4 linked regions of the Mytilus edulis genome follow. The protein of the gene in region 3 purifies or fractionates together with the protein of the main gene of each other region. This does not show direct contact. Links are inferred from orthologs where the notes say so. Each region holds a gene or a part of one and is shown on either strand. Other genes may lie near its edges. The genes, in order: DNA-directed RNA polymerase II subunit GRINL1A-like, DNA-directed RNA polymerase II subunit RPB7, GPN-loop GTPase 1-like and RNA polymerase II-associated protein 1-like.

Region 1 (6,911 bases), on a different chromosome or scaffold from region 3:
TCCACCGATGTCCAGAAATTGTGTGAGAAAATATTTTAAGAATATACGATGCTATTCTGGACACAGCAAAAAAAAATCGTTTCTGCATGGAGAATTGAACTTGATATCAAAGAAAACTGGCTCTTTTTTGTAGAAAGATAGCTGACATGGATTAAATTAAAGTAAGACCTCTAATTTCCTCGTATAAAGTCATCTATATAAATTATAAAAACATCAATGCATTTCAATATGACCTTTTACATTGAAGGGTTAAACTTGCATTAAGTTCAGACCCTTTAACTGAAAATAAAGGAACATGGAGTAAACGTGCACGGAACATAATCTCACACAAAGTCAATGCATAGAAACAAATACAATGATCAATGGTCAAAGTTTTTATTCTTGTTCTTCATCTTGATAGTTACTGGAGGGTCTTCAACAATAAAAGAATCATTAATACCCCAAAACAAGGTCAAGATGGTCCTTAGTGACGACTTTTCAGTACTAGTATAATTATAATAGTTGCACTGTCACTATATTTAAATATAATAAAAAAAATAATAAAAAAAGTCTAAGCACTATACAAGACAACAACAGAACGACAGACAGATCCGGTTTTAATGATTATGATTTTTTACGATTTTTAACCGGATTTTTGTGACAAAAATGTCGGTTATTGATTTGGGGATGTACGGCGGGCTGTCGGGCGGGCGGTCGGTCGGGCGGGCGGGCGGGCGGGCGGCAATCAAATGTTGTCCGTGCATTAACTCATGAACCGTTCAACCAAAGCTTTTAAAATTTTAATATGTTGTTACTGACAACTAAATGAAGGTCAAGTTCAATAATGGCGATTTTGACTTTTACTGTTCAGGAGTTATGGTTCTTGAAAGATTGAAAAATGGAGTTTCCAGTCGTTTTCGTGCATTTACGCATGAACTGTTCTACCTAAGCTTCCCAAATTTTAATATGTTGTTACTGATGACAAAATGGAGGTCAAGTTTAATAATGGCGATTTTGACTTTTACCGTTCAGAAGTTATGGTTCTTGAAAGATAGAAAAATGGAGTTTCCAGTCGTGTCCGTGCATTTACGCATGAACTGTTCTACCTAAGCTTCCCAAATTTTAATATGTTGTTACTGATGACAAAATGGAGGTCAAGTTCAATAATGACGATTTTGACTTTAACCGTTCAGGAGTTATGGTTCTTGAAAGATTGAAAAATGGAGTTTCCAGTCGTTTTCGTGCATTTACGCATGAACTGTTCTACCTAAGCTTCCCAAATTTTAATATGTTGTTACTGATGACAAAATAGAAGTCAAGTTCAATAAAGACGATTTTGACTTTTACCGTTCAGGAGTTATGGTTCTTGAAAGATTGAAAAATGGTGTTTCCAGTCGTGTCCGTGCATTTTCTCATGAACCATTCAACCAAAGCTTTTGAAATTTTTATATGTTGTTACTGATGGCAAATTAGAGGTCAAGTTCAATAATGATGATTTTGACTTTTACCGTTCAGGAGTTGTGGTTCTTGAAAGATTGTGAAATGGCGTTTCCATTCACGTTGTTGCATTTACTCATGAACCATTCAATCTAAGCTTTTCAAATTTTAAGATGTTGATACTGATGACAAAATGGAGGTCAAATTTGATATTGATGATTTTCACTTTCACCATTCATCAGTAATGGTTCTTGTGATATTGCCAGGACACAAATAAATATTAATAAATCCGGTTTGCTGTCGTTGTGACAGCCTCTTGTTGCTTTATCCTACATATTGGTCTACTTTTAATGTTGTCCCTGTGAAACCTAAAAGTCTTTAATTACAATTAATCTATGTTTTAGCTTTGAGACCAGTATCGTGTCGAAAAAATAGCTAAAAATTAATTGCGTTTCAATGTAAATAAAAAGTCCGGGAAACGCTCAGAATGCACGATTTTGCGTTATTTTTCTCAGAGCTTCAGACCCCTCGCCAAAATTTTTTAGCCTCGCTACGCTCGGCAAATATATTTTGCCTCACTATTAAAAGAGGCTAGTTACGGCCCTGGATACATCCATTTTATTGTTTATTACTTAATATTAAGTGATTAATATTTAAACTTACCTAGACTTAATCAATGATTAACTACGTGGTTAAAAAGTTCCCCATCAAAGACTTTTTAGTTTTTACAGTTAACAAGACTTTTTTTCACGATTTTGGACGACATAAGGTACATATTATACAAAAATGTGTAATGTACTCAGCCAGTTATGGTAATAAATGTTGGGAATTACATACATTTGTAAATGTTGGGAATAAAACTGTTATAAAATGTTTGCAGATGATGAAGACAGTGATACAAACAAACAAACAATGACATATAAAGATCGTCGACGTGAAGCACACACTCATGCAGAACAGAAAAGGAGAGATGCCATTAAGGTATTAAAGCTTTAAAAAATGTAAACGTTTTACAAGTAAGTGGAGATGCATGCCTTTGCAATTATGTCTGCTTTGGGGATTAGTGAGTTATGATATCTAATTTTGATCAACATCATCTAAGTGGATTTTTCAGTGCAATTGTTCATGCTATTATTTAACAATTGACAAAAATGCAATATTAATTATTGCGATTTCAGTCAAATCTGCATACAGTTATATTTAAAGTCAGAATGCAAGTTTTAACAAGCACAATCTTCACCAAGTCAACTTATTCACAATAAATAAAAATTCACAAAAGTTTCTGAATTTACAGCATTGGTCCCATTACCTTATTTAATTGATGGAGGTTTTGTTGCTGTAAAAAAAGCCAGGGTACAATTATAATAATAAAAAAATAATTTGAAGAGCCCCAAAAAATTACTGTTAAAGAGTTGTTATAGCCATGATAATTCATATCAACTGATTGTAGTAAACTTTTCGTTATGGATAGATATCCTTGAATTACCCTGTGTACACAACTGCTGCTTAATCTTGCAGTAGCTTTTCACTTTTAAAGTGGAAGTTTGTAGGTCCCATTCCATGCTACGACAAATCAAAGAATTGAAAATTGCTATGTGTTGCCTTTTCTCTACAGCTGTGGTCACACCTTACCGGATAGCATGAACGGACGCCTAACGGATGAAAATAAAAGTTGTCCGTTGACAAAATTGCTATCCGTTGGATGTCCGTTGATGTACTGACCAAATAAAACGAACGCGTAACGAATGCATAACAGACACACACCGGATATGCAACGTACGAGAAACGGAAACGTACTGCACAGAACGGATGTCGAAAGTACATCTAACGGACAAGTACCACATAAAACAGACACCCAACGGAAGCATACCGGATAAAAAGGATGAACAAGATATACGGAAAAATTAAAGGCAACAATAATAATACATTTAAATTGCAAAAATATTCAAAAAGTTTCTGTGTAACTGATTTTGGTTTGTTCTTCAAAATGCCGCCAAAGGGCAGTGTCTGGCCTGAATAAGAGATGCTTGATTATGAAGAGGTACCCTTACTCTAAGATCGATTATGAATAATAAGAATTCATGATTCTTAAGAAATTTGACATACCAATAACTGGCATTTCTGACGCGAAATTTTTAAATGGCATTTATCCGTTTGAGATCCGTTCATCATCCGTTTTATCCATTATAAGTCCAGTAGAAGTCTGTTTCTCATTCGTTCAACATCCATTTTATCAGTTTAATGTCCGGTAGAAGTCCGTTGGTGAATTTATCTTCCAGACCTCCAACGGATGTATAACGGACACGTAACGGATACAAAACGGAAACGAAACGGACAAGTACCGTACTAAACGGACGCCTCTAAAATGTCCACTGGACAGAACGGACGTAGACGGATAAAACGTACGCTAAACGGACATGCAACGGATATGGAAGGATGTCTAACGGATAAAAACGAACGTCTAACGGACATGAACGGATTGAAAAAAAGTAATCCGTTGGGCATCTGTTCGAGCTTTTCTTTAAGGTGTGACCGAGGCTTAAGCAACCTCCATTTAGGAGTAATAGAAATATTGGTTGGCTTGACCTCAGAATAATGTATCTGTGGAGAGTAGCATGTCTTTATGTGGATTGTTACCTTATGAAATATTACATTAAAAATCTGGCTTAGCAAGTCTGACTAGTATGTATACAGTACAGGATTCATATTCATTTATCTGTTCTTGTCTTGATAAGGATGTATTATTTGCTACTTGATATGAAACACTGATCCATTATCATCATGTGTACAGCTGTTATACAATTGAGCGTCAAATAACATATTAAGTTTATCATTACAGAAAGGGTATGAAGAACTACAGAATATTGTTCCTACCTGTCAGAATACAGACAGTGTTGGCTCTCAGAAACTCAGTAAAGCAACAGTTCTTCAACGTTGTAAGGAAATATTTAAAAATTTTCAATTCAAGATTTCTTTTTGCAATTATAAAGGGCAGGATGTCCAAAATAGACATTCCTTCTGGATTGAAAAAAAAGAAAGTCCAGATAGAATTGACTCAATTAGGCATTGCAAATGATGTTGTATGATTAGGGATAGTTTATGGTTTGGATAGCATTTTTGATAGACTATTTTTCCTAACAAAAACACACTTTTCTGTTATAAAAGTCACATGAGAAGTATTTTAATACTGTAAAACTAAGCTCTAAGTGAATACCTCATCTTGCAAGCAGTAACTAACAATTGCTTATAGGTTGGCAAACATCTGAGATTGACACGATTATTGTGAATCTTGTGGCTAGTACTTTGCTTGGGATTAATCAAAATCAAATACATACTTTTATTGCCATATAAATCAAAAACATGATCTGTGACAAACATAACATATAGTGATATATATTAATCAGGCTTGTGTTTATACAAATTATTTTCATAAAATGAGTCATTGCGAACAAGGCAATGCTATGTACAAAGGAGTTACGTTAATAATAATTAAAGGTCATCAACAAAGCAGGGTCTTAATAATAAGCTAATTCACACACATTGCATATTTATAATTATTAAAAAAAAATTGATGAGATTAATTGTAGAAATTTACAATTTACCAGATGCATTCTATTTTGTAGCCATTGATTACATTCAGTATTTGGTATCACAAAAGAAAAAGCAAGAAGATGATTTGGACAATCTAAGGAAAGAGGTTATGGCTCTGAAGATTATGAAAGCGTGAGTACATATTACCGTACATGTATCATATGAGCATAAATAACATTATTATGATACATGTATTTCTCATAAAAAAAATTCTCTATTAGACAATGAGCAGATATACATGTATATATTTATTTAAAGCGTATGTGGTTTTTGTTTCTTCTAAACCAGCTGAATTTTGAATCAACAGGTGCATAAATTGATAAACAAGATAGCATATTTACAGCTTATCATTCTTATTATCTATGATATTTGCCAGTGGACATTAGACCGACAACAATAAATCATACCTTGTGAGTTGAAATAGTGTGCTCACAAGTAATCATCTCACAGTACAAGTATACATATCTTTCATTAGTAATTTGCCATCACAATCAAAATGCAGTGTACTGCATGTATATTTTGGTCCTCTGTGCAACATGTTTTTTGGGGGACATAGAAACACCAGTCCTCTGTCCCACCAGTCTTGTTAGTGCTCTCACAGATTCAAGTTTATTTTAATATCATGGATCAAGTAATGGTTATTCTTAAGTAAAACTTAATGCCAAATGTATTTATTCAATGATTTCAGTAATGATTCCTACTAATGACTATCACATTTTTTTCATGTTACAGGAATTATGAGCATATAGTTAAAACTCACCAGAATCAGCCAACTCATGGACAAAATCAAGTTTCTGATGAGGCAAAGTTTCAAGTGGTTAGTATGGTATTATAATGTGATTAGCTCAGTATGCCTTTTAACTCCTGAGTTTAGTCTTTTAAGTTATTTGTAATTTAATAAATTTCAACTTTTTTGAGAAAATTTAGAATATCTTTGATGGTTTTGACCTTTTTAATTAAAAAAAAAAGGAAGGTATTTTTTTTTTTTGATTAGTTACATTGGCAACTACTGTAAATTCAGAAATTATTGCGAAAATTGCGACAGGGTTATAATCACGGTACTTAAAACTTGCATTAAATCAAACAGGATTTTTCTGAATATCGCAAAAATTAAATTGCATTTTAGTCTAAAATGACAAAATGGCAATATTAGATGCACGCAATATTTTCTGAATTTACAGTATATATTAATGTACCTATTCTGACTGTTTCTAATTGTTGACATTACATGTTGTTTATAAGTTTTACAACTGTTGTAGTTCCAGCAGATCATGGATACTTTGTTCCAGTCGTTTCATGCCAATGTGTCAGTATCTAACTTTGCAGAGTTGTCAGCATGTGTGTTCCAATGGTTGGAGGAGTATTGTAAACCACAGGTAGGGAAATGGTTACAAAATTATTTTAGACCATGCGGTTCCTGACCTCAGTCAGACACATCAATATTTAGTATGTTCAAATAGTTTTTTTTCTGAACCGTCCTCCTTTTGACTAGTGAAAATGACACAAAAGAAATATACAGCAAAAAGTACAGGAAAACACTAGAATTACAGTAATGGGCAAGATAATTCATGAATGTTATGGCCCATTGCATTTTCCATTGGTCTATTGAAAAAATTGTAAGATATTTTCCTCCAGCTTCTAGAGAAAATAGAAATAAGATACATTTACTGAAGGATTTTCAAAGATCAAAAAGTCCAATAAATACTGACAATATCATGGCAAAAAAAAAGACGACATAAAGATGAACAAAAGTAAGAAACATCACATAGAAAACTAAAAACTGAGCAACAGCAACCCTACCAAAAAAAACCACCCCAGAATGGAAAGCAGTTCCTGCTTCACATGTGACAAATTTTGCTAACATATAATTAAAAAAACTAAGGATATATTTAATAAACTGATGA
Region 2 (7,048 bases), on a different chromosome or scaffold from region 3:
ACTGACATTTTTGTGCTTTATAAAGAATATTTCCATAAAAAATTGGATGTGAAATACCTGAACGTATAAGAAGTCTGCATGTTGAGCTATATTTACGAATGATGTCCTTAAATCGATGATAAAATTTAGTAAATGTTTTGACTAGTTTGTGATATCAAAAACCCTGGTGTGATAATTTTTCAGTAATACATAAATTTCTCTCGTTAAAATCTAAAACATTGTTACATACACGAGCGAATCGTACAAGTTGAGATATATAAACACAGTAAGATGGTGACAAGGGAACGTCACCATCTAAAAATGGATAATTAACGATTAAGCTTTCTGTTAGTGATATAGATATCAAGATCGAGGAAAGGGCAGTGGTCATTGTTAGTATTAGTTTTATTTAAAGTAAGTTCAACAGGATAAATTTCTTTAGTATACATACTGAAGTCGTCATTATTGAAAGCCAAAATATCATCCAAATATCTATAAGTATTATTAAATTTGTTTATCAGATGTTGTTTCGATGGGTCTTTGCTGATTTTTGTCATAAATTGTAACTCATAGCAATACAAAAACAGGTCCGCAACAAGTCGTCAAGTGGTGCACAGTTAGTCCCCATTGATATTTCGATAACCTGACAATATACGGAATCTCCAAAGCGAACAAAAATGTTTTCTATGTACATTGATGTATGACAAAAAAATACTTGGTTTTGTACAATTTGGATACACTGAAAATCTAGGTATAATGCCTGGTTCATGATACAATTATGACATATTGGTAAATATATAAATTCAGATTAGATGAGAAAATCTAGCTTATTTGAAAAGCATAGTTTAGTTGGTTATTATGAAATAATTTAGTTTTAGATGTAAGGCGTCTTCTGATGCTGATGTTGTTTATCAGTTCATAATTTTGTCATATGACCCTGACGTCATCAACGTTTTTTCATGGTTTATTCTGGTTTAAAATGGAATTTAGAATTAAATTTTAAGAAATGACTGTAATATTTTTTGTCTTTTCGAAATAACATAAAAAAATGTGTTGCACACTTTAAAATAACCCCTATGCGGGTTATTCAGTGTGCACCACATTTTAATGTTATTTCTTCATAGACAGAAAAAATATTACAGTTATTCCTTAAATATTTTTTCAAAAATTTACTGTAATGACATTCCTCTTTAATATATTTCAGAAACTAAATATTACTGTTTCTAAGTTAAAGTATCTTGTTTCAGTTTCAAATCATTTTTGACTCATTAAGGCCAAAAGCATAACATAAAACTTTGGAAACTCTATTTAACTTGGATACCTTGGATAGGTGCCAAATATTTTTGGATGTAGATCTACAATACCAAGCTTTTCATCTTCCAGTGTTGCCATTGTATCTAACCATGCTTGTTTGGATGGCAGATGCTCAGATGGATATTCCAGTTGTCTTGATGTAACAATTGGCAATGGTGGTCTATCTGGTACATAAAGGTGTGGATCTGTCATAAAAAGTGTATACATAGATTTAATGTGTGGCAAACATAAAGGTGACACAATTGGGATTTTTTGGTTTCCCTCAATGAAATACTTTTAAAGATGGATTACAAAAAATTCTAGCAAAAGGATGTCATCTAAAGTCAACAATGATCATGATGATGTAAGGCTTATAAATAAGTATGCCAGACATGTATAAAAATTTTTGTAAAATACACAATTCTAACAAACCGACATAATTACCTGATGCTGTTTCTAACTCTCCTGTAACATCTGTTTTGTCTTCTGCCCTCAAACTTCCTGTTGTTGTCACATTCTGTTAAAACCAAATGTGATAATTATCATTAGTTAGAATCATGTGATGCACACAGGCTAGGTCCAAATCCATTTGCAAACTATTGTTATTTATCATAAAGAAACATAGAAATCAAACATGTCAAATATGAAAAATTGTTCAAATCTTGAAAAACAACTGAAGGAGTGAAATATCACTGGTGATATTACTGTTTGATTTTAGGCTAAGTTTTAGTAATTACTCATGATTATATAAAATTTCCTTTTCCTATTGTGAAGCTCAGTGTTCATACTCTGTACCTGGATGTGACCATTTGTAAAGGGGCGCAGGACATATTAGCGAAAAAATTAAAACTACTAGGGGACATTTGAGTGCCAACACAGTGTTCCAGCTAGGTTTTCAAAAGGGCAGGGTGCCAATCCTGAAAAAGGGCATTTAACGCGCGATATGATAATATGAAAAGGGCATATTTTAATAAAAGATGTTAATCAAACATTTGTGTTTATTCGTTGAATCACAGGTTATACAAGAACAACATCTTTAGCCCATATAGAACTCTATCTTTCTACTTTTAAGGCTGAAAAACTTGTCAAGCAGCTTGTCACACAAGTTTTTTTATCATTGCTTGGCACAGTTGAACTTTATATGCAGTATGTTTTGAAAGGAGATCTGTTTCATACTGTTGCTATGGTCTACCACATTTTACCAGTTTCACTTTTCTACCCCTGCTGTGCTTGATGGCAATACAGCACAAAACAGCTGTGCTCAGTAAATTCACAATTTTAGGATATATAGCAACAGTGAAAAATAGTATCAAAAATAAAACAGTAAAACAAAAATACCGAACTCAAATTCAAAATTCATAATCAGGAAGTCTTTACATTTAAATAAAAATGAGAATGGAAAAAACTGACAAAATTAAACCCTATCAATCAACGTGTACAGAACAAGTGAAAAACAACTGCATTTCCTGAATTTGTACTGACATTTTCCATAGCTACATTTTGCTAACCCCTCCCCCCCACCATTACTGTAAGTGTCCTGACAAGAGTACAACCGAAGTAACAGGACATCAAAATCATAAATGAAAAAAAGTGTGTTTGTTATAGTGGTCCTTTTGACTTTAGCCACCACTTTCTTAGATTGAACTATGTCTGTGTAAGGTATTTCGTAAGTATACCTCACCGAACTTAATTTCTTAGAACTAATATGTAGATTGTACATGGGCACATTAGTTCTTAAGAGAGGGGAGGGTTAAAGTGGTCACTTTGTTTACTTATTAATTAAACCATTTCTTTAAGAAAATTGGTTAAAGTCAGTATTATTTATTGTTCCTTTACTATTTCTCCTGAGACCGGTCATGTAAATATTCTTGTCAGGACTTCCGGTTTCTTTCACATGCCTGACATCGCGGCCAGGCTTAATGTCTGAAGGAACAATAAAAATGGCGTCACTCATCAGGTTCAGGGCAGTCTAAAGCTCAGAATTTGAAATGAGCTCATACTTGGACTATCGCTTTAGGAACTGTTACAATTTTTAAAAGCGATAATTATTTGAGACCTCTGAAAAATCACCATAAGGATATTTTAAAGATCACTGTAATATTTTAACCAGTTTGGTGCTAACGGTAGCTGAAAATGGTCTCCTGAAGGTAAAAGGCATTACTGCCCTCACGGAAACGAACTCCAGCTGAACAGTTGAAATCCTATGTGCTATTATGGCATCGAGAAGCAGGATACAGGATTCTCACTAAACAATAAGCGGGATCCGTGATCATACACCCTCTGAAGTGCAGCTCCATTATGATAAGTGGAGCAAGGTCAAGGGCTATGTCCTTGAACACACACCCTCATAAGTGCAGCTTCATTATGATTAGTGGAGCAAGGCCAAGGGCTATGAGCCTATGTCGGACGTCCTTGAAGTTGAAGAACACAACCCCCTTTTCGTGTGACTGACAGCCTCTCAGAATCTACAATAAGGTCTTCTGTTATGTAAATTGAAAGGTCTTCTGTTATGTAATTGAATATCTTACACGTGCTGCAGTAAATGTAAACAAATTCTTAAAATTTTGGCTATTAAGTCTACAAAATATATGCTTTGAACAAAACATTTTTAGTCCAATGTGATTATTTTTTCCTGGTACAGATGTTATGGTTGTAATGTTGAGCACGACAAAAACAGAATTTCTGCTTTAAAACCAGTTTGACTTTACTGGTTTACGAATTATTTTATATTAATTTGGCTTAATTTGTTATAGTGGTCCTTATTTCTTTGGGTACCAGAAAAAGGGGAGATAATTTTACATCGATTGTGAAATTTCAGCAAACAATGTTTTTTCATGTAAGCTCGTAATTCTACACAAACTCTCCCTCTTTACTCGTTTAAATATAAAACTTTCGTTTTGTATTCATGCTTTAAACTTTAAAAAGTGTTGTTAACTAATAAACTATGTGATATGAAGCCACAGGCACTTGCATTTGACTTGTTTCTATCCATAAATTATTCATTAATCAGGTTGGGAACCCTCTATATGGTGATTATACCTGTATAGAGGGATAATCCTTCTATAGAGGGGTAAAATTAGTCCTCTATAGAGGGGTATTTTTGTTTAGACTGGATTTAAATCAAAATAGGGCAGAACGGCATTCTCTACTTATTATGGCAGTAACCTGGAACAGTTGATGCACCAATTGATGTAATTAATTTAATATGCACATGCCCAGTTTGATGCTTATCTGATTAAATATAAAATCTATTGTTCACCATGATTGAAAGCTGTGATGATCAGGTAAATTCTACTCACTTATGCCTCACTGAACAGAATTTCTATTGTTAGATTTAACATGAAATTTAAAGGTCAACTATTCCTTTTGTTCTTGATCAGGTGTTCAGATAGGTTTACAATAGATTGCAAGTTTTGTCACTTTAGCAGAAAACTGGTTATCCCAATTTTTAGTAAAGTGCATATGTTGATTCATATAATGCTAGAGATTATAGCCAATATAACTAGAAAATGCCATTCTGCCCTAATTTGCTTTAAATCAGGTGCAAACAAAAATACCCCTCTTTAGAGGGATAATTTTATCCCTCTAAAGAAGGATTATCCCTCTGTAGAGGTATAATCACCATACAGGGGGTTTGTTCCCAACCTGTTAATTGGAAGACCCACTAAAACAGTAAAAGTCTATCAACGTTTTTTTACGAGTAAATATACGTTGATACTGGGTCTTCCAATGGATAGAAACAAGTGCCTGTGTAGGAAGCTGTGAACATGACTAAGACTAGTCCAAATAATAGTCCGAGATTACTCTGACGTCCAACGGCTGTTTTGCCCGACAAGCTGGGGCCGTGGGACGTCAGAGCTCATTCCATATCAAAAAGTGGATATTTGCCCACCCAAAATAGATGCGCTGCTTCATCGCTTCTGATGCCGACTGACGGCCTTGGAATTATATAAATCGGGCATCAATCTTCATTTTTCATTTATCTCTTCATTTATGTAAGTTTCACCTACCTGCCAACCTTTATTTTTCCATATTTTAACAGTTTTCACAGTGACCCATCGATTTCGGCATTTTGCCTCTCATGTTTAAAGATTATCACGTGACCACGAGAAAACAGTGATGATTTATGCAAATGACCATAATGTAACACCTCGTTCATTTACGATGCAAGTTATCTAAATATCCGAGAGCTTCCGATTGTAACGTGGTCGGAACTAAATGCTTCATACCGATCTCCTGTAAAGGAGGTGAAAAATCGTGGTTGGCTACTAAATGTTAAACATTGATATTTGCATATTTTGAGTCTCGAGACCACGAACTCTCTCGTAACTTGACGTCCATTTGAAAGTAAAAGTCAAAATGCCGAAATCGATGGGTCACTGTGAAAACTGTTAAGATATGGAAAAATAAAGGTTGGCAGGTAGTGAAACTTACATAAATGAAGAGATAAATGAAAAATGAACAGATTGATGCCCAATTTATATAATTCCAAGGCCGTCAGTCGGCATCAGAAGCGACGAAGTAGCGCATCTATTTTGGGTGGGCAAATATCCACTTTTTGATATGGGACGAGCTCTGACGTCCCACGGCCCCAGCTTGTCTGGCAAAACAGCTGTTGGACGTCAGAGTAATCTCGGACTATCCAAATAATTATGACGTCTGGCAAGGCTATTTTAACTTTTTTCTGGGACGCTTTCCTAGATTAAGACCATCAATTATTTTTTAGCACATATACAAATGGAAGCAGGACAAATTGCCCCACTGGCAAAACGCCCCACACCAAATCGCACCACTTTTTCACCAACTCGCACCAAGGTTTTCATAGGTATTGAAGTGGGACAGGGACATAGGTATACAACGGGATTGCATCTTTTTTCATAAGTGGGGCGAGTTGGCACTAATAAATTCATTGTGGTTTATCTATTTGTCCCAAGTGGGGCTAGTTGGCAAACCTTATTTCAGCGGGATTTCAACCCTTTTCATAAGTGGGGTATGTTGTTCAACCTTTATGCAATGGGATTTTACCCTTTTTCATAAGTGAGGCGATTTTTTATAAAGTGGGGCAAGTTTGTGAAAAAGTGGGGCGATTAGGAGTGGGGCGATTTGCCAGTGGGGCGATTTGTCATGGATTCATACAAATTATGACATTCAAAAATCTTAAGTAATTATAATGAAAAATAATGGATGGTACCAGTAGGATTCGAACCCTCAATCTCACCAGGTCTTCAACACTCTTGAAAAATCATGGATGGTACCAGCAGGATTCAAACCCTCAATCTCACCAGGTCTTAACACTCTTCCCCCTTTTCTTTTTTCGGGCTGCATACCATCCATCCGAACAACTTTCAGGTCTTGAGGTCAATATAATGCCACAACTGTTCTATTTGTGCTGGATTTTTTCATCCTGAGACATCTGCTCGGAAATATCTGGCCAGATCCACCTTCAAACGTAGATATCACAGTCATCTTATGACCAGCATGTCATCCATCATGACCATATCAAACTGCCAGGCACCTACATGAGTGGGGTAACAGGAATGACCAGATAACACTGTTATTATCCGAATAACACTTGAAATTTTAATATTAGCACATATTGGTGACTTTTAAACATTAAATATTACATCCAACATGGCGTCCATTGCGATTTCCGTAGTCATCATGTTGGATGTACACACTAAATTTAAAAAGATCTTTATGAACTTATATGCTTTCTGTAAATCATTTTTATGACCATATATTGAGTTAAAAAAAGTCGTCAAAAACATACGCTTTT
Region 3 (7,939 bases):
ATGACTTCCGTTGATGATCACCTAAAAACTACTCAATCGGCGTCTTTTAATCTTGTTGTATTTTCTTTTGAAAAGAAAGAGTGAGATAAAACAAAATGAAGAGGAATCTAAATTTTCTCAAGTCTCTTGTATCCAAGAATAAACAATTTTGTCAACTATAAACGACCTGAATAACGGAACTATCAATTGGAAATTACTCTCTCGGATAAAAGCCATAGAAAAAGGTTGTAACGGAAACAATTGAAAAAGTAAAAATAATGTTATTATAATAATGAAAGACCTTGACATACAAGTACATCGGTCTGATACCAGAATATCGATCCCCTTCCAATATTCACCCGGATTTATTTTAGCTTTACCAAGCTAAGCAAGAGTTGTGTCCCTTGTTCTGTCAAACTTCTGGTTTTGAGTCGAACTATGTGTATCTCGAAATATTTCTCTGGTCCGGCTGACTTCGAAATAACGAGAGTCGACTGTATATCAAAGTGAATTATTTTTACAATCCCATAAAAATTATCAAGTTTTGAGATGTAAAAACATGCTTTTAATGATTTTTCCCAATGTAGCTCATAATTTTTTATTAGAGTTCAAGACATGTGCAAAGGGCAGAAAATTTTTTAATTCTATTAATAAAGCAAAGAAATCATAAGAATTTAAGAAATGAAGATACATCAAAAGGATGACTTTTTCACTTATATAAGTAAAAAAATTTGACTGAATGTCTAAGGAACATAACTAAGCCAATTGTTTTTTCTATACAAGTAAATATAATTCACTTGTGTTAATATCATACAAATTTACTTATATACAATGTAAGTATATTAATATTACTTCTTCAAGTAAATAAAAATTACTTGTACAAGTAGAATCCCTTACTGACAGTGGCAATCCTTATTAATAAATTTTCACAACTTGGAAAAAAATGATATGCATATTTAGAATAGGAACATGTTTATGTAATATTAATATCATACCTCTTTGTCAGTTTCAAAACTGTCCAACATTTCAATAATATTTGTATGATGTAAGTTTCTCATAATCTCTATCTCTCTTCGTAAGTTTCTTAACTCCTTTTCTGGTTTTCCTACTTTTGGAATGAATTTTAAGGCCACCACCTAAAATAAATACAAGATATTATTTTACTGGATATTACTACATAATTGTTATTTTAAATTGTAAAGTAGAAAAGTTTGGAAGCTCTTCTATCTTTATAAATTCAAATGTACAATGATGTATGCATGGTTTATTCCTTTTTTTTTTTTAAATAATTAAGGTGGTACCTAACACTACAGGGAGATAACTCTGTAAATATCAGCTAAGCGTTTTAATGGCAATGTATTGTTAAGTTTCTCAATGATCAAAATGAGTGTTTGTGAAATTATAATATAACCAAAGAAATTTTTCTGATAAAGTGGTTGGTTTAATTTTTTTTTAATTTTTATATTTTTGTCAAAATTTTATCAAAATTAAACGAGCCAAATTAATATACGTCAAGGTGTTGGGTACCACCTTAAGATGATTGATTGTTGCTTGGATAAAGTTCATTTTCTAATGATTTTATATCTTCAAACATGGGCTTGTTATTTGCATCATTCCATCATGTTATATGCTTTTCTCCAACTAAAAAAAATAATCAAAATCATCCACCACAAGCATTTGCATTGCTCTACAAACCTTAAATATAAAAAGGTATAAAAAAAAGATGCAGTTGATACATTTTTGCAATAATTACGTCATGCCTTTTCTTACATTGACACACACATTTTCTATTTGGAAACGTGTTGTGCATGATTTTTATGTGTACTGAAGACATGTTTTTACCTGTGATGAAAACTTTTTTCTCCCTTTATACACTTTACCAAAAGATCCTTCACCAATAATTTCCAGAACATGATAGTTGTCCATTTTCTGTTTATTCTCTCTGGAAAAAAGGTTATAATTACTTGTACATGTATTGCATTACTTTTGATAACTAATGTTTGTAATAAACTATTTTCATATTTCTAATTTTTTGACTCCAGATTTTATAATTTTTCAACAGGTAATCTAATCTGTAGCTAATGACAATGTTAATGTGCTTGTACTTTACATCAATGCATACCAGTATGCTTTTCTCCATATCTCAAATACTAAAGAATGATTTTTTCAGTAGTTTAAGCAAGAAAAAAAACAAGAATGTGTCCATAATACATCTAGTACAGGAATGCCCCGCTCGCACTATCATTTTATATGTTCAATAGACCATGCAGGTCTGACCTTGAAATTGGGGTAAAAACTCTAATTTGACATTTAATCAACTTCATCAAAAACTACATTGTACCTTAATCAAAACCTTAACCTAAAGCGGGACAGACATATGAACAGACGCACATACTAAGAAACATAATGCCCCTCTACTTTAGAAGTTGGGACATGAAAAAGAAGGGTGTTTATAGTTGATATAATGAAGACATACTTCTATGTCTTACAAAATGGTTTATTTACTTCAATAAAGTAATATATATGTTCCTTATTACAATTTTATCAAGTGTAATTTTTTACTTGTTACTTTGTACACACGCAATGCAGACAAAAAATACTTGTATCACTAGTGTTTAAATGAATGTCAGACGAGTAAAGCACACCATTTCCACACCCTGGTTTTTATTTATATAATAGACTGCAACTAAAAATAAACATGAACATGATGAATATTCAACTTAAATAAATTTGGTCATGAGATTGTGTGAAATGTGCATGATGTCACAGATGTGTGATACCCTGAAATTTATCAAGGTTGACAGATAATAAAGTTTTGAACTACATGTTATGGTATACATGTGTCTCAAATAAATTGCTGAAGACAATAGCAACTGAAAGCGAGTATGGTGAACAACTGGGCGACTATATTTCTCTTTTGACTTCCAGCAAAGTGACCAATAGGAAAGCAAATTTATTGCCCCAGTCGCCTGCTAGCGCGAGCCTTGATTCAAGACATCCATGCCTGCATGCATAAGATAATTTGGAAAAACTAAAAGAAGAACTAAAACAGAATGCCAAGATACCAAACTCATAAGTCAAAACATGATGGCAAAAAAAAAAAAAAAAGAGAACAACTTGCACCAATGTAACCGGAGAGCATGATTTTACTTGTCAAATAATTGCATGTCTCCACTGGGACTCGAACCTCTGTGTTTCAAGGCAGCTCATTAACCGACTGAGCTAAAGAAATACTTCCTGTCACAATACTAAAGTTCATGACTGATATGATGATGAGTGACAGTGTCTTCCCAATCACTGTCTGTTAGTCCTAGTTCATTTGAAACTCTGGAGTTAACTTTACTTACTTGGGTTTCAACAAAACGATTTTACTTGAAACACTCGAGTCGAATCCGGGTCCATTCGCGCCCATTCACGTTCGGACCCACTCATGTTCGCCCCCTTTCACTTTCGCACCCTACATGTTCGCACCCATAGTCGTGTTGACACCCTACATGTTCGCGCCCAATTTTAATTGGTTTTGTGTTTAATAACTTTGTTATCAAGTTTTGGCAAGTGTATTCTTATAAGTATAATTGTTGTCATTGTCCATGTTGTCTCAAAATAAAGTGAGACAGCATTTTTTTATTTTGTGTTGAATAAATCTTAATCATGTTTCGGAAAGTGTATTGTTAAAAAAAAATAATAATCCTTTCTAAATAAAGTCATGAGTGGGATTCTGTCAAAGTTTTATTTTGTGTTGAAGAACTCTTAATCATGTTTTGGTTAGTGTATTGATAAACTTTGTTTCACTGACTTGTTTCAAAATAAAGTGAGATTCTGACTACGTTTTTTTTTTGTGTGTTGAATAAATTTTATCATGTTTTGGTTATAATTCGTGTATTGCTATATTTTATTGTTTCATTGTTACAGATCAAAGGGACCAAGCTGTTAAAAACAATTATCTTTTGTGTTTTTCATTTAAAATCTTCAATGTTTTACTCATACCAAGCTATAAATACATTCAGTATTTACACCAAAGCAATTTAAAACAACAATCATGATTTTCCAATTATTCAACTGGAATTTGAATTAAAATTGGACGCGAAGGTGTAGAGTGCGAACAGACCTTGGGTGCGAATGTACGAGGTGCGAACGTGTAGGGTGCGAAAGTGTATTGGGCGCGAACGGACCTGATACCACTTGAGTCAACCCCTCGTACCCTGGTTCCAACCCTCACCGAGCCAGGGTTAAACTTGAGAAACTCTTGAATGATGTCAAACCAATGAGAATATCTTATTTTTTATGCTGGGTCAGAGTTACTTAGAGTTGTTCCGAATATCAACTCTTGTGCGTTCACGTGATAATCTATTAACTCTGAAGTCGATTAATTTTGTAGAGTTTCAAGTGAACTCGGCCTTAGTGTTACAGGCCATTCATTAGGAGGCGGTACCCGGTACTTGTACCCTCCTATGCTATTGACAAGTGCCGCCTAAATGTAGGAATTTTTATATAAGATATTCATGGAATAAATTGAAAAGTACCACCTAGAAATGTGGAAAGTACCAGTCAACATGAAAGATAATGAAACCCCTGGTGTTAGAGCCAGTGAAGCCCTCGTTTTCTTAGAAACAATAATGTATCCAGTGTCTGGGGTGAATGTTTATGCATAATCGACAAATTACCTGCCAGGTTAAGAGTTAATTTGTTGTTTTGTCGATTTTTTTTTTAGATTGTTTACATCGTTGCTGCTTGTTTCAAGTTCCCCTCTTCCGGAATTCCAGCGCTTGCGTACCATTGTATCATCTATTTTCGTATTAAAAAAATAAGAAATAAGATAAGTTGTAATAGTAATGAGATCAAAAAAACAATCCTTATTTTAAATCTATAATAATCAGTTTATAATATGATACTATTATTTTCAACAGATATTTACAAAAACATACGAAAATAATGCTTCAACTAATTTGCTACTTATTTTCTGAAAAATGGCATGTTGTGAAAAAGTTGATGATAAAATTCCATCAGAAACACGAACAGAAGCACATACAATGAAAAAACCTACTTGCATTATAGTTCTTGGGATGGCAGGATCTGGAAAAACAACATTTGTTCAGGTGACAGTCGTCGTCGGCTAAATAATTTCACTTATTTTGCCTTGTTTACACATTTTTAAAACCACTGCAAAGCCAAAGCCAGACATATCATTATATCCATTAAAAATATACAATACAAGAATGTTATATCAATCTTAATTGCAAATCTTTATATAAAGAATTAACTATAGTTACTGATTTTTTTTATTAAAAAATAAACTGCATGTCCGGTATCGGGATCGTTCGCCCTGATTACATGTTCGCCCTAGGTTCGTTCGCACTGAGTTTGTTCGCCCTGGTATTCCGTTCGCCCTGAGTTCGTTCGCCCTATTCTCATAAATGATATGTATATGTTATATGTAATATGTTTCATTAATAAAAGAAATGTATATTTATATATATTAAAATTTATGTTTATCTATTAAAGCTGAATACAGAATATTAATTAAATAAAATTCGTAGCTGCATTGTTACACTCAGTTTATTTTATAATTACTTTTAATTACTGTTGAATGAATTTTGATTGCTGATTAGGTATAATTTGAAATCTTTGATATCACTGATTGTTGTATGAATTGTCTTTGATGGATTAATAATGAAAATAAAATTTTTCTCAAATAAAATAGTCAGCTTGGATGGGTAAAAACACTGATGTACAAATTGTTAGGCATGAAAGGGAAATTATTTTCGCAGCTTGGCTTCTTTGATCTCAAGTGCGTTTTGACAAATTTGTTATATATGCAGCCAAGCACGCAGGTGTTTCCTTCTACGTCCTAATTCCAGATCTTATGACAGAAGCAGAAGTCGTCGACTACAGTGTCCGTGCCGAAGACCTAGAGCGTGACATCCATAGGAAGTACACCATCCTAGAAGAGAAGATCCAGACAGCATGGGACCAATACATTGGCAATGTGATCACAACAACACACTTTCTGAAAGTTATTGCCAAACTGTACAAGCCGTCCGACATATTCAATTAAATACACACAACACAACACTATAATAAAAAATAAAAATCGTAAATATTCGGCGAAATTGTAGACTGACTTCAACATATTCAATTAAATACACACAACACAACACTATAATAAAAAATAAAAATCGTAAATATTCGGCGAAATTGTAGACTGACTTCAACATATTTAATTAAATACACAGAACACAACACTATAATTATAAAAAATATAAATCAGGGCGAACAGGTATCAGGGCGAACGGTCTCAGGGCGAAAAGGAACTAGGGCGAACAGTAACTAGGGCGAACAAAAATCAGGGCGGACGAGGGGTCTCATCATGCTCATTGGGGGTTCTGATCCCGGATCCCGCTTACTGTTTTGTCTGATTCCCATATCCCGCTAACACTATGTACGTAAGCAATTCTCTTTTTTTTTGTAATTTCACGTGTCCCGCTAGACTCCATTTCCCGTTTTCATGGCATAATAAATTGACTTTCACGTTTCATGCTTACCAAAAAAACAGCAATCCCGCGTCACGCTTAGACCCCAATGAGACCCACGTACAATATACAGTCAGGAGTGCTACTTAAAAATTGCATATATTCAAATAAGCTGTAAAACTTAGAATTAAAGCTTATCAAGCAAATGACAATTACTGCATGTACATAGTTGTTTTTTCAATGTAAATCAGGTCTTTTTACCAATAAAAAAATCGAGTTTGTGGGAAAAATATCCCAAAAATGTTATAAACACTTATTGAAGTGATTAAATTTTAACTTCTCAAATTACTTGTTTCAGTGATTTTGAAAAGTCTGTGCGAAAATTTTAAATATTTCACAGGCAAAATCACTCAAAGAAGTGATTTTGAAATCATTTTTTTTATTTACCACCCCTGACTGATATACAAATACTTTTGAACATGTTGAAATTTTTTTTCTTATTTAATACACCTAATCGCTAATCCCAGCTGAACCGGCTGCTTGAACTTTTGATGCATACAGCAATCACTTTTCCATTGTGGCGTCAGATATTTTGTTGTATGACGTCAACATTTTATGAGAACCTGTGTGATATCCAGTAATGGCGGTCAGATAGCAATAAGGTGTATTAAAAAATATACTACATGTACATTATCTGTGAACAGTCAGGGGACTTACTTAAATGAGTGATTTTCTAAATCACTGATTCAAGTAACATTATTTCCACAAAGGTTGAAAGTAAGAGTTGTCTTTCTTTAATAATCACCTATTTTAGTAGTACAAATTAATCACTAGAAGAAGTGATTTAATTTTATTGAAGCTTTAAATATAGAATACCAATGATCAAGGGACTAATTATGTTTCTAAAATTATCAGAACCAACATCTGTGTTTTTGGATGACTACATGTAGGTCATTTCAGGTGATGACCTTGTACTGAATCTAGGATAATGACATAAAAATCACTTGTTTAAGTATCATACCTCAATTTCCTTCCCAAAAATCACTTCTTTAAGTATCGTTATTTTAATAACCCCCACTAATTTCAACACCCCCGAACAGTGAAATTTTTATCACAAACAGTAGAATTTTATTACATAATCTGAAAGATGAAACCTTGAACTTCACAGGAAAAATACTTCCACTGCTGAGAAAAATCTGTTAACAAAGTATCAGTTCATTATGTAAAGCCAATATTATAGCATTTTTTCAATTAAAATAGAATTTGCAGCTAAATGATAGCATTAAAGGCATAAACCTTGCTACTTAAAAGAAGCAAAAAGGTATTTTTTTTTCAATTTTACTAATGAAAAGATATTATTTAAACCTATGTGTTTAAAATTTTGGTAAAACTACAAAATCCCAATTTGTGACAAAACTTTGAATTTGCTACTTAAATAAGTGATTTAAAAATCACTTATTTAAGTAAGTCCCCTGACTGGTGAAGAATGT
Region 4 (6,987 bases), on a different chromosome or scaffold from region 3:
AATTGTTACGAAAATTTTCACAACTTGGCTATCTTGGGTAAAATCATACAAGTGTTCGGTAAACAGGAAGTTGTCAAGTGATGAATCTTAAAACGCATCACACGGTATAGCTGACTTATATCAAGCCTGATACCAAATTTCAGAAATCCTTGTATTGTACAAATGTTGTAGTTCCTGAGAAAAATGTGACGAAAATTTTCAACTTGGCTATCATGTGTAAAATCATACAAGTGTTCGGTAGACAGGAAGTTGGCGATTGATGAATCTAAAAACGCATCACACAGTATAGCTGACTTATATCAAGCCTGAAACCAAATTTCAGAAATCCTTGTAGTGTAGTTCCTGAGAAAAATGTGACGAAAAATATTCATGGGACGGACGGACTGACTGACAGACTGACGGACTGACGGAAGGACAGACAGAGGTAAAACAGTATACCCCCCTTTTTTTCAAAGCGGGGGTATAATGACCCACTGGATAAAAAGAAATATAGACCTGTGAGCATTTTACCAACAATTTCAAAAGTATATGAAATGGTTATGTCTGACCAGTTGACTGAATTTTTTGAGAATATATTTCATGCTTTTTTATGTGCATTCAGAAAAGGTCATGGATGTCAGACAACTTTGCTGAGACTCCTTGAAGATTGGAAAACAGCCCTGTATAATAATATGTATGTGGCAGCTATTCTTATGGATCTTTCAAAAGCTTTTGACTGTTTACCACATGATATTCTTTTAAGTAAATTATCTGCCTACGGTCTTTCTTTTAAATCAGTGAAATTACTTCAAAATTATCTTACAGATCGTAGGCAACAAATCAAACTTCAGGGAGTACTCAGCAGTTGGGATGAAATCCAGAAAGGGGTACCCCAAGGCTCAATCCTGGGGCCCCTATTATTTAATATTTTTATAAATGACATATTCTATTTTATTGAACATGGTACCCTATATAATTATGCTGATGATAATACTCTGTCATATGCAGACAACAATTTTGAAAATTTATTATGTACACTTGAAAGAGAAAGTGCTGTTTTAATTGACTGGTTTAGTTTTAATTGTATGCAGGCAAATCCTGACAAATTCCAAGCCATTGCAGTTGAAAATAAAACATTTGCAAAAAAGCCCGTTTTTGATATATACAGTCAGCAAAAATATCCTGTGATGAGATTGTCAAACTTTTAGGTATTGATATTGACTATCAACTTAATTTTAATCACCACATTAAAAATATTTGTCGTAAAGCATCCCAACATCTGAATGTTTTAAAGCGCATTGGCTGCTACCTTACTAAATTGAATAAATTTACCATTTTCCACACATTTATTTTATCTAATTTTAATTTTTGTCCTTTGGCATGGCATTTTTGCAACAAAAATAACACCACCAAATTGGTAAAAATTCAGGAAAGGGCTTTACGATTTATATATGAAGACTATGTTAGTTCATATGATGAACTAATTTTACGAGCAAAGGTTCCATCATTGAAAATAAGACGTATGCGTAACATGGCTATTGAGTGTTTTAAGATTTTATATAAATTGTCACCACCATGCTTACATGATTAAGTAGTATTGAAAGATTGTAAATATAATTTTAGAAATTCTAATATTGTAGATATACCAGAAAATATATTTTCGTCTCTCTCGGGAGTTTAACACAATATGACAATGAAAGACAGTGTGTACCTAATAATTCCCGCCAACTTTTACATTATTGAAATCTAAAATACCTAGCCTTCCGAAAAACATAACATTGATGGTAAATACCTGAGAGTGCTGAAAATATATTTCCGGTAGGTGTCACTTTAGTACTTTCATTTTCAAATGTAGGGCCTCGATTCGTTCTATTTCAGAAATGTCAAGTTTGTTTTAAGGACTGCAATAGTTATATGGGAACGAAGTCCCCAATAACAGTAGAAAATTCAATAAAAAAAAATTAAAAAAAAAATATCGGGAAAATTTTTTCATTGTACTAATGAACTCAAAATCATTCAATTTTTTTTTTGTCGCGTTTTTGAATTTCCAGATCTGCGCAGAAATCTACAATGTACTTCCTTTTTCCGGTCTCGTTTGTATGAAACTTTGAGTAAAATATATATTTATCAGTCTTGTATAAAATAGGAAAGAACGCAATACCAATTTCATTTTTTATAATTCCTCGATATGAAAAAACGTTACCTGATGATAGCGTTTCTTTGTTTACATTGTATATGACGTCATTACTTAAATAACGTCACAACTAAAATCCCTAACAACAGGTCAGAACCAAAATCCGGGAAACGTTACGGTATTTCCATTTCTTTTTTTTTTTTAACAAATATTTAAGGTACAAAAAAATAATTCCTATAGACTTCGTCCCCATTTACAGGTAATGCCTGCCTCATATTAGAGGTTACTTAAGGTAATAAATATATGTCATCATGGTCATTGCAGAGATAATTCAAGTGGGAACAGATTTATTCAGTTCACAAAGGAAGTGAAAGTCTTAGAAAAATTTTACAGCAATAATTTGAAGCATTGTCGCAAATGAGCTTCCTCCCTTGTGTTTTTTTTTGGGTTTCGTATGGATAGTAAACCCGGCAAATTTATTGTAACAAGCCCCTGTGCTGTGCTTCTACCACTATTAAAGTGACCACCATCATTAGGTTGACTGTCCTGTAAATGTTTGTTGTGCGCTTGTTTACCTTGGGAAATCGTGGTACAGTTGTATATAAGATCTTTAATTTCGGGTGATTTTCAACAGAACCAAAATCGGAGAGCGTTTATACGGTATTTCCTATTCTTTTCTAACACATTTTGAAGTTACAAAAAAAAATCATACAGACTTCGTCTCCTTTCACAGGTAATGCCTGCCTCATATTATCTACTTTACATTTAATTCAATATACCTGAATTCATATGAAATGGGATATATTTAAATGAAAATGAAAAACTATGTCAGCAGAAAACCTGCAGATGGGCGCAGCCATTTTGTTTTTCCACCGGATACGGAACTCGCTTGAAAATCTACTTCCGGATTGTCATAGTAACGAGAAGCTTTTAGAAGATCATACTGCAGAGTAAACTGGTAAATTCTATTCTATGTTCAGACTTTTGCGTCACTTAAATGGCAAAATAAGTCTTAATATACTCTTATATCAAAGACGTTTCTGTATATAGTGTGTAACATAATTAGAGCAAATAATTATCACAAACCTTTGGGCTTGACATCAGTCATCACAGTATCAGAATATTTTGTTACTCACATGTACTACTATTTGAGGAATCCGGGTCCGTTCGCCCTGATTTTTATTTTTTTCTAGTTTTTGTCTAGTCGCATTATTTTAAGTATTTGAACAAAATATGTTAAAGTTTGGTTTTTTTTTTTAATTTACAGAATATTTATATTGCTGCAATCAATTTATCATTTTCCCTTTGATTTGCAGAGTAGAATACTGGAATACAATGTATTCATCTTTATTGATATAAATTGTTAACAAAATGATTGTATTCAGTCAATCACGAATGTATGGCAGTATGACTAGTCTTTATAGACTAGAGTATAAATAAATAAACTTGTAAATTTTATCCGTTTCATAATTTACAGTTGTACATCATTGTTTTTATTAATTTCAAGCTGAATATTTTATCAAAACAACAGATTTGTTTTTATTATTAATCGGCCAAAAGACAAGTATGACACAATAATCAGTGATTCAAATTATTTTGTCAGTGAACAATTAATTATCCTAAACAAGCCATAAACTTTTAAATATTTCAATAAATTTCAAGAATATTATATACATGTACATACCATAGAAATATCTATTTTCATTCAACTTCAATGCCCTCAATATTAATATTTTTATAGTAGGGCGAACAAACCCTATGGGTGAACGAACAGACCTAGGGGGAACATGTTTTAAGGGGGAACGCTCCCGATACCCTACATGAGGGTTGTAATGCCCTTTACCTTCAGGCATTAAACAGTCATTTACGGCTACCATTAGGGTCAAATTGGTTAAAATTTTACCATTATTCGTCAAAATATCCTTATCGTAATTTGTCAGATGTCTCAAATATTTAACGTTACTGTTATATTTGGAGAAAAAAAACAGAGTGATTTATCAAATTAAGCTGGTTTTTTTTAACGTCATGCACTAAAAATTACTGTTAACTTCATACGACAAGAATTTTTACTGTTATACACCATGAAGGTACCCCCATTACTACCCTCCTACATGTATATTATATACATGTAGTACCATCTATACAGATGGGGTACAAGATCTGACTACCAATTCCAACAATATGGAAGGAATTTCAAATATGTTGCTTTATCCTTAACAATGACTAGTTCTTGTCATATATTATTCATAACAAGTACTCACATCTTGAAATTAATAGCCATTAAGATTAATTTTACAAAACCACACTCATTTAGGCAAATGCAAACATCTTAAGACAGCTTTAAATGATATGAGACAGGCATTACCTGTGAAAGGGACAAAGACTGTATGAATTATTTTTTTTAATTAAAACATTTTAACTTCAAAATCTGTATAAAAAGAAACACAAATACTGTAAGGTTTCTGATTTTCGGTTTTGGTTCTGTTGTTAAGGATTTTATTTGTGACGATATTTAAGTTATGACATTCTGAATTGAAAATGCTGTAGATGAAGTCTTTATTTAAATTTTTAAAAATCACCCCTGTATACTTCTGCAGTCAAAGAGCTCAGCATTTTTTTGGGTATAAATTGACCATGACAATACCTATAGCTTGGCAATTGATCAAAAATAAAATAATAAATGACTGTCAGAGAAAAAACTATTAGATGTTGAAATCAAAATTGGTCAAATAAAAGGTATATTGAATTTATTTAACTTTAATTTTGTCTTCATATTTTTATCAACAAATTACAATATTAAAAGCTAGTTTAGAATTAAGGTATAAATAGACTCACTACACCAAATTGTTTAACACATTCATTTATACATTGTAATGCTTTAATAATATGTTGTTATATTTTCTGTGAATGATGTAAAATTCATAATTAATTAACTGTGATTGTTGTCTTTTAAAATGACAATTTTGTGAACACTAATTATTAATTAGTGACAAAATTTGAAAACTTTTTGATAAGCTGTCACATGTCATGGACCAGAACTTCCAATTAGATTTAAAAACAAATAACCTAATTACATTTTTCATTAAAAAAAGTAAGTCAATATTCATTTGCAGTGGATCTGACTGTTATTCCTTTTAAGTTAAATATACCACGTACATGTATACAGGTAAAGTGCTTGAATTAACTTATAGATATTTTCAGTTGGTTTCAATGCTAACAAAAATATTGAAATACAATTTAAGTAGTATCTGGATTAGGCTCCTCTTTTTGCTAGAAAATTTACTACAGATCATGTAAAATTAACATACATGTAATGGGAGAGTTATAATATAAACCTAACATTTGCAGTTGTAGTACACTTTTCTCCAGTTTAATTTAATAAGCTATAGGACTACAGTGTCTAAGAGGCACAGATTTGTTAAAACTTTTACATAATTATTTTTTAAATGAAAACTGATTGCAATGATTTATTATTTTTAGCCAAGATGTCTGATCCAGCAGTAACAGATGGTACAGGGGAAGATAAAATTGATGACGATGCCAAAAGTACAAAGAGTGGACCAAAAAGTCAGCCTGGTTCTAAACAACCATCTAGAGCTGGGTCTGCTCAATCAGGGAAGAGTGGGAAGAGTAGTGGTAGACCAGCTATGGCAGCAACTCCTGCTGGATCTGTTAGGGGAGATAATCCAGCAGCTGACTGGAGACAGATGAGGAGAATTATAGCTGAAGATCCAGCATATTCACTGGCAACTGTCCCATTACTGGTGGATTTGTGTATCAAACATATAGTTACACATTTTGATAGTAAGCAAATAGTTTTATATCATAAATTTCTAAAATAATTATACATTTACAGTAGGAAAATGTTAAACATAATTACAATAACCTTGACTTACTTTTAGGATAAAAGCCGATTCTCAGAAACTGTTCATTCTTTAATTATAATGAAAATTGTGGTGAAAATATTACTAACTTTTGCCTTTGATAGTTTTCTATACAATATTTTTTTTTGCTCATTATTGAAGGCTATAAGGTGAACTGTAGTTTTAACATCCTTTCCTTTGATATCTGGTGGATAATTTCATATGTAATCTTACTACATCCCCTTTCTTTAATATATTTTACATTGATTGGGGTTTTTTTTTCTGTTGTCATAAATTGATGTATATTACATAAATACTGGATGCTTTTAGTTTTGGGTATGTTAAATGGATCAATCATCTAAAATGAATTACTTTGATTTACTCTAAATCACACAAAACACTTAGAAATTTAGATATAAATGACAAAGCTGTTTGAATTATTTATATCATTAATGCAAAGGCTTCGTGTTGAAGACCATACTTTGACCTACATGTATAATTGTTTACTTTTTCTAATTGCGACTTGGGTTAGGAATTGACTAATTTTCACTCATACCACATCTTCTTATATCTGCATATGTTTTTCATGAATTATCATAAAAAAATAACTGATTTCCATTTTTTTTTCAGATAACTCTACCATTTTGAATGACCTCCCACCAAGATACAAGTCTAAAGTGTTGGACAAAATCTCCACTGACATACCTTTGAAGATTACTGCTAATCTGGTACAGGAAGAGGATTACTGGAACAGATGCTGCAAAGCAAGATGGGAAATTTGTGATGTTTCTCAATATGGTGGCAACTGGAAAAGAATGTACTTTGAGAGAAACCTCCAACAAATCGTAGAAAATTTCGTACCAGAGACAACAGACCCCAATGAATTAAATGAAACTCTGCCCTTGTCTGCCAACTATGTTAAAAAGTTAGATGTCCAGCAGTTACTTCCCCCTGTTAGAGAGGCCCCAAAAGGTCCAGATTTTGATGATGCATCCGATGCTGGAAGTGATG

The links.
Region 1: the proteins of GPN-loop GTPase 1-like (region 3) and DNA-directed RNA polymerase II subunit GRINL1A-like purify together in Homo sapiens (affinity purification with mass spectrometry; 3 studies listed by BioGRID and IntAct, counting the BioPlex papers as one, with this or other methods). This does not show direct contact. The link is inferred for Mytilus edulis from reciprocal best matches to the Homo sapiens genes GPN1 and POLR2M.
Region 2: the proteins of GPN-loop GTPase 1-like (region 3) and DNA-directed RNA polymerase II subunit RPB7 purify together in Homo sapiens (affinity purification with mass spectrometry; 4 studies listed by BioGRID and IntAct, counting the BioPlex papers as one, with this or other methods). This does not show direct contact. The link is inferred for Mytilus edulis from reciprocal best matches to the Homo sapiens genes GPN1 and POLR2G.
Region 4: the proteins of GPN-loop GTPase 1-like (region 3) and RNA polymerase II-associated protein 1-like purify together in Homo sapiens (affinity purification with mass spectrometry; 3 studies listed by BioGRID and IntAct, with this or other methods). This does not show direct contact. The link is inferred for Mytilus edulis from reciprocal best matches to the Homo sapiens genes GPN1 and RPAP1.

What each region holds. Positions count from the first base shown.
Region 1 is NC_092347.1:30,986,488-30,993,398, reverse strand, and holds the start of DNA-directed RNA polymerase II subunit GRINL1A-like, read right to left. Parts: upstream 3,012-6,911; 5' UTR 2,979-3,011; coding exon 2,903-2,978; intron 2,398-2,902; coding exon of another isoform or gene 2,297-2,397; intron 1-2,296. Other genes in the region: max-like protein X, read left to right, coding at 2,297-2,397, 4,256-4,352, 5,040-5,139, 5,740-5,824, 6,267-6,383.
Region 2 is NC_092346.1:55,903,282-55,910,329, reverse strand, and holds the start of DNA-directed RNA polymerase II subunit RPB7, read left to right. Parts: upstream 1-4,040; 5' UTR 4,041-4,096; coding exon 4,097-4,108; intron 4,109-7,048. Other genes in the region: large ribosomal subunit protein uL4m-like, read right to left, coding at 1,301-1,478, 1,717-1,789, 3,801-3,878. UniProt on the Homo sapiens protein: Core component of RNA polymerase II (Pol II), a DNA-dependent RNA polymerase which synthesizes mRNA precursors and many functional non-coding RNAs using the four ribonucleoside triphosphates as substrates.
Region 3 is NC_092349.1:17,861,130-17,869,068, reverse strand, and holds the start of GPN-loop GTPase 1-like, read left to right. Parts: upstream 1-4,915; 5' UTR 4,916-4,946; coding exon 4,947-5,075; intron 5,076-7,939. Other genes in the region: serine/threonine-protein kinase 36-like, read right to left, coding at 975-1,115, 1,822-1,905. UniProt on the Homo sapiens protein: Small GTPase required for proper nuclear import of RNA polymerase II (RNAPII). May act at an RNAP assembly step prior to nuclear import.
Region 4 is NC_092346.1:62,500,391-62,507,377, forward strand, and holds the start of RNA polymerase II-associated protein 1-like, read right to left. Parts: upstream 3,005-6,987; 5' UTR 2,893-3,004; intron 1-2,892. Other genes in the region: dynein regulatory complex subunit 5-like, read left to right, coding at 5,599-5,917, 6,607-6,987. UniProt on the Homo sapiens protein: Forms an interface between the RNA polymerase II enzyme and chaperone/scaffolding protein, suggesting that it is required to connect RNA polymerase II to regulators of protein complex formation.